Caenorhabditis elegans: one gene and its partner. The protein of the gene in region 1 interacts with the protein of each later gene in a pairwise test. Each region holds a gene or a part of one and is shown in the gene's direction. Other genes may lie near its edges.

Region 1 (3,289 bases):
GTCTCCAATTTGTCTCGCATCGATTTCATCTCTGTGTTATGCTTCAATTTGATAATTTTCTGCTCATTTCTCAGCTTCTCATTGAGAATATTTTGTTCTTCTTGATTTTTCAGAAGTTGTCCACAAAGTGTTTGAGTTTCCAGGAGCAGCTGATTTTCCACGAAGCTGGACGGCTCGGATGGAAGTTTCTGGAAAATATAAATTAATTTTAAAAGTAATAATCAATAATAACTAACCTGGATGAGGGAATATTGAATTTTGGAAGTTTCCTGTCGAAGTTTCTCGAATTCCGACATCAAATCCTTCGAGTTACTCATTTTTCGTGGGCAAGTCTAAAAATAAGATTCATTTAGTTTTTAAAACTTGAAAATTAAAATTTAAATACTGAAAAACCCAGAGAAATGGAAAGAAAACAACGCGTTGTTTTTCTTTTTCAACGAATTATCATGAAAAACAATGCTCGTTATTAGTAATGCAAAGTCCGCAAACACCTTGCGTACTTCATCATCTACAGTAGTTAACTGTAAAAATCACCCGAAAAATGTTTTCAAAGTTTTCTGAAAAATATTCGAACTGTCTTATAACTGATTCTCCATACGATGCTCATATTCAAAATAGAAAAATCCATATCCAGTTTATATTCAAAAAAAAAATTTATTACAAAAATAAGATTAACAAATTATATCAAATTGGCAGGTAACAAATTAATAATCATAGTAACGTTCAAGAGCAGGGTAGATAATTTTTTTTTTTTTTTTAGATAAATTTCTCGAGACTGATCAATATTGTAAGATCCAATCGAGCGATTGTCCTGAAGCTTCTGACCACCTGAAAAGTTTTAAAAATTGTGATGAAAATTGGTTTTAACAAACCATAATACAGATTAAAACTTTCAACCAAATCGTTGTTGAGCAGATTCGCCACCTTCACTCTTACATAACGAATCAAATAAGAATTTCGTACTTCGACAGCGTGGTACTTGTAATCATCGAACACGAAAATTTCAAAAAGTGAATTGTCCGCAACTCGGTTTCCGCCATTCTTCAGATTTTCCAGCTCCTCCTTGATCTTTGCGTTCTCAATTTTTTGATTTTCTTCAACTTTTTGAAGTCTCTTCTTTAGCGACTTCTGTTCTTCGAGTAGTTCTGCGCAAAGCGATTTGACATCCAAGAGCAATTGATTTTCGACGAGTGTGGAGCCGTTCGGAAATTTCTGGAAAAAAATATTTTTATTTAATGTTTTAATATACTTTTTTTCCCAACCGATTCAAGTCGAAGTTTCTGCAATTTCGACATCACATTATTCGAGTTGTCCATTTTTCGCGAACAATTCTGAAAATATTATATTTCAAAGCATTTCGCGTTTTTCTGGCATTGAAAATCAGTTTGTAAGCATTAGACTGTAATGAGAAGAGATTTGAAATTAAAAAAAAAAAAAAAAAATTTTTAATATGAGCAATGCGCGTCATTTGCAATGCAAAGTCCGTAAACACTCTGCGTACTTCCTCGTCTACCGTAGTTTCTTCGAAAATTTCGTTCGTGAACATTTTTCCTTTCAGTTTTTCAATTTTGTTCAGTTTTCTTGAGATTTTTGGAGTTTATTTTCCGAATTGTTCTAGAAAATATCTAATTACGCCAGAAAATGTGGTTTTATTCGCAAGCATGCTGTTGTAACCGCTAAAACACCAATATCTCAAAAAATGTTTTTTTTCAGATTCCAAAATGTCGGAGCCGAGCAATTTGGTGTCTAAATTTCAAAAACTTCGCGTTGAAGCTTCCAAGATACAGAATGAGTTTAAAGAGGTTTAGTTTTCGAGCTTACACATTATAAGAACATCAATTTTCTTCCAGAAACCCAGCTATACGCTGTTCAAAGAGACTCTGGACATAAGCGAGAAGCTTTTGGAAAAACAATTCGAATTCAACGATGAGATGAAGCAAATTCAGCAGAACGTGATGTCGGAGTTGAAATCTGTGAAAAAAGAACTGAAACAGGCGACATCAATTAAGGATCTTCTTGAGATTCTCGAAATAATCCAGAAGATTTTTAAAAAACAAGACGAATTTCAGCAAGTCCAGGAAAATCAAAACAAATCGATCGAAAATTTGAATTCGGAATTGAAGACTGTCAAAGCAGAGCTGAATGAGACGAAAAAGCAACAAGAGTCTCAGGAAAAATTGATCGACAATTCGGATAAAAACTTGAAACTGATTTTAGAATCGATATTGAAATTTCAGAAAAGTCAAGATCAGATTATGATGAAGATTATGGAAGGATCAGCTGTGCAAGACGTCCCACTTGGAACTGTAGAATTGACAAAAATTGACCCATTTTTTGAGATTTTGGTTATCTGGACCGAATCGTGTGGCATATTCGCGTCTGAAAACCACTGGAAACTTCGCGTGTGCGGATCGGATACAATTCGACACATCAAACTTCGCATCAATTCACTTGCAAAAGTAGACATCAGCTCGTTCAGAATGGTGCTTCGTGGTTGGTTGGTTTCAAAGTAGATTTAAAAATAAAATTCGAATTTCAGGAAAACTTCTCGAAGACCACCACTCTCTCGCCTACTACAACATTCAAGAAGGCGCATTAATTTGGCTATACTCTCGTTGAATCATAATTATTCTAATTTTCATTCACTTTTTTCAAGATATTGTTATTTTGCGAATAAATAATTGTTAACTAAAATTGTTCGCTTTTCACAGATTTTTTTTAAAAATGATTCTGCAATCATTTGGATATTTGATTTACTCAAAAATAAAAGCAACTTTCTTGGTTTTCGGTTCTTGTTCAGTTTTTAGAGAGTTTTTTCTCGAATTTACCTGGGAAATTAGAAAAGTTAACTAGGAACTTCTTTGCATTTCAAAAATTATCAAAAAGCTTTTTTTTTTCAGATTTAAAAATGTCGGAGACAAGCAGTTTGATGTCTCAATTCCAAAAACTTCGCGTTGAAACTTCCAAGATATACAATGAATTCACAGAGGTGAGAATAATAATAATAATTTATTACGCTCGCTGGGAGACGTGAAGGAATACAGAATACAAAAGTTATCATTGTTCGCTTGAACTAGAATTGGTGCAGTCGGGCAGTTGTTTCCATTCCATTAGAATGTTGTCCTTGTCCTTGCTTGTCCTTGCGCAGACTCCCCCATAGTGGGCGAACGATTCCCGAGTGAAAAAAAAGATTTTGAAAAAACACGATTGTCAAAAAACCCAGAAAAATCAAAACAGGGTGATCGAAAATTTGATATTGGATTTGGAGATGGTCAAAAATGAGACTAGT
Region 2 (3,324 bases), 1.5 Mb from region 1:
CTCATAGAATCCATGAATTTCAGTGCTCGTCAAGGATATCAAAACACTGGATCGCAAAGAATTCCTGAATGACAGCGTCATGGCATTTATGCTGAATTATATTGCATTTATGCTTTCGTCCGAGCTGTAAGTTTCATTAAACATCATTGGATTTTAAAAATTATAATTTAATTACAGAATGAAATCCGTGCATATGTGCAACACGTTCTTATTCGTCAATCTGACTCGCCTACTTCCACCATTGTGCTTCTCCAAAAGACGACCAATCGAACCAGAACACATAAAAATCGTGAAAGACAATTGCCCTCGAGTTCTCCGTTGGACACGAAAATTCGATGTTCTTGCCAAAGATTATATTATCATTCCGATCAACGAAGATCTTCACTGGCTCGTCATCGCTGTTATCAATCCATCGGGTGCAATTGTCGATATGTCGAATGAGGAAGCTTCCAGAGCTGCTCCGAAGTGTTATATTGTATTCTTCGATCCGTTGAGTGGTCTCGATCCAAGCAAGAAGAATCATATGTGTCACTGCATCAAGATTTATTTGGCTCAATTGTATGAAAACACTAAGGCTCCTGGAATGAAATTTGCGTCGAAGAATCCAACGATTTACGATGAGGAGAGAGTTGTCGTGACTCGTGCTGAAAACACTCCAATCCAAGACAACTTTTATGATTGTGGACTTTATGTATTGCATTTCATTGAAGGGCTCTTCTGTTATCCGAACCGTCCGGTCAATGTGAACGTAAGTAAATCTTCATGAAACATCACAATAAATAAACACTTTTAATTCAGGATTTTCCAAACTTTGACTGGTCAAAGTTCTTCCCGGAGGCCAATAAAATGTGTGACTTGATGCGAGACAAAGTTTACAATTTGATTCTTCAACAAGCGGATAAACCTGCGAGAAGCCGTCTCGCCAAGTTCGAAAGGGAGAACAAATGTGGATTGTCGCGTGAAGGAGCTCTTAGGAAAGCACGTCGTCATAGTGCAGTGAATGAACGTCGTACGAAACGGCACAGAGACTATTATGCACGTCACTATTCCTTGAGCCCGCCACACCGAAATGTGATGAACGATGATCCGACGTTCATGAATCCACGTGGATTGGCGGAAATGCCAATAACTCGACTTGTTCGTCGCCTCAGAATTCCGGAGGATAACTTCCCAATCGCTTACTAGGCATTTTGATCAAAAATTTGTCTCCCCTCTCAAAAATTGCCGGTATTTTCTTCTCTTAGTTAATTTATTTTTTAAAGATTTTATTATCCTCCCATTTTTACGCTCTCTCCTTATTTCTGCGTTCTCCGTCATAAAGTGACAATTGTTATTTTTTCTTTATAACTTGATCACTCAATTTAATATTTTCAGTTGATCTCCACTCTTTTTTCCTCCTTTTATTAAAATTTCAATATTCTGTTCCATCAATTTTCCTTTTGTACACCCATTTCACATCTCCGCAACGGTTTCTAAATTTTCTATTTGACTTCAGATTGTTTTCTTACCGTGTATGCGTTTTTCCGTCGATAAATTCGCGTTTTTAATTAATTTTTTTCATGTTCTGTCTGAAGAAAATGGTCGATTTCCATAGGTTCTCTTCAGCAACCCTGGCACGCTATTAGTCTCCGCCCACTTTTCCCTGCCGCAGTTTCCTATTTGTAAGCAAAATGTCCGCCAAACGATTGAAACGCTCATTTCACTTCATTGTTTCTCTGTTTTATTAAATTTCCAGACATTCTCACACTCTCTTTCAATTTCAGATATATCTCTTCGTCTTAAAGACCAGAAAAACACTCAAAAATGTCGATTATGAGCTACACTGGTGGAACCGTCGTCGCCATGGCTGGAGACGAGTAAGTTTTAAATTTCATGGTTGAAATATTATTTTATTCTTATCTTTTCAGATGTGTGTGCATTGCTTCGGATCTTCGTATTGGAGAGCAGATGACAACAATTGCAACTGATCAGAAGAAAGTGCATAAGGTGACAGACAAGGTCTACGTAGGACTTGCTGGATTCCAATCCGATGCTCGCACAGTCTTGGAGAAAATTATGTTCCGCAAGAATTTGTATGAGCTCCGTGAGAATCGCAACATCAAGCCACAAGTGTTGTCCGAGATGATCTCGAATCTGGCTTATCAGCACCGCTTTGGCAGTTATTTCACCGAGCCACTCGTTGCTGGTTTGGACGACACCAACAAGCCATATATCTGCTGCATGGACACTATCGGATGTGTATCTGCTCCACGCGATTTCGTTGCTGTCGGAACGGGACAAGAGTACTTGCTTGGAGTTTGTGAAAGTGAGTTTTTTGAATTTTGTTTAACGTTCAATTTAAATACTTTTTACAGACTTCTGGCGCGAGAACATGAAGCCGGATGAGCTCTTCGAGGCTACTGCTCAGTCGATTCTTTCTTGCTTGGAGCGTGATGCTGCATCAGGTTGGGGAGCAGTCGTGTACACAATCACTAAGGATAAGGTTAACGTCTCAACTATCAAGGCTCGTATGGATTGAGAAATTTTCCCCGTTCCCAACATTAAGTGTATACAATTTAATCTAATTTATTTGTTTCTCTTTTCCCTGTCTCATCCCCACACCCCAGACCGACCGGTTACCGTATTTTTCAACTTTTAAATTCTTTTGTGTTGGTTCTTCAATATCGAGAATACATTTATCACCCATTATGACTTGTAAATGTTTTATCTTTAGTCTCCCGAAGTTTATGGCAACAATTCTACGAACAAAAAAAATACTACACAGATCCTAAGAATTAGAAAAATTTCACAATTAAATCATGCTTATAGACATCTGGATTCAGCAGGGTCAATGCTTGATGCAACATTACACCAGAAAGCCCCCAAACTCGCTGGGTGGAATGAAGATACTCGTTCGGAGCATTGTGATGGACCTGAAAAACTTAACATTTTTTCGGAAATTATTTAAAAAATAAACCTTGAACTCCGTGGAATCGAACGAAGGCAGTGTGTACTTCATTCTCTTGCTTTGGAATTTAGTTAGTCCGGCTTTTTTGATAAGTTCATCAATTGGAATCGTGAAAACAGCTTGTACTTCATCAGAGTTGACCACCAGATTCTCGAGAACTCGCTCATCGGAAATGTATCCAACAATCGGAGTAACATTGAAATCCGCTTGCCGTCTTATCACACTTTTCAAATGACCCCAGATTTCCACACTTTCAGCGTTAACCCCGATTTCTTCAAACGTTTCACGGAGAGCAGTTTCAGTTGTAGTTTCTCCTGGATCCATTCGACCACCTGGAAAACATACTTCACCACGATGCGATCTGAGATGAATCGATC

The links. Proteins that work in one complex are often made in the same cells at the same time.
Region 2: the proteins of C16C8.16 (region 1) and pbs-3 interact in a two-hybrid assay, tested with the Caenorhabditis elegans proteins (2 studies listed by BioGRID).

The regions. Positions count from the first base shown.
Region 1 is NC_003280.10:3,444,049-3,447,337, forward strand, and holds C16C8.16 (Ubiquitin-like domain-containing protein), read left to right. Parts: upstream 1-1,707; 5' UTR 1,708-1,721; coding exon 1,722-1,802; intron 1,803-1,850; coding exon 1,851-2,493; intron 2,494-2,539; coding exon 2,540-2,619; 3' UTR 2,620-2,694; downstream 2,695-3,289. Other genes in the region: C16C8.4 (Ubiquitin-like domain-containing protein), read right to left, coding at 1-188, 237-317; C16C8.5 (Ubiquitin-like domain-containing protein), read right to left, coding at 680-828, 873-1,212, 1,263-1,316; C16C8.20 (Ubiquitin-like domain-containing protein), read left to right, coding at 2,909-2,989.
Region 2 is NC_003280.10:4,953,867-4,957,190, reverse strand, and holds pbs-3 (Proteasome subunit beta type-3), read left to right. Parts: upstream 1-1,763; 5' UTR 1,764-1,803; coding exon 1,804-1,856; intron 1,857-1,907; coding exon 1,908-2,305; intron 2,306-2,354; coding exon 2,355-2,518; 3' UTR 2,519-2,711; downstream 2,712-3,324. Other genes in the region: ulp-2 (Ubiquitin-like protease 2), read left to right, coding at 24-126, 178-748, 799-1,185; ndx-3 (Nudix hydrolase 3), read right to left, coding at 2,775-2,912, 2,957-3,324. UniProt on the Caenorhabditis elegans protein: Non-catalytic component of the proteasome, a multicatalytic proteinase complex which is characterized by its ability to cleave peptides with Arg, Phe, Tyr, Leu, and Glu adjacent to the leaving group at neutral or slightly basic pH.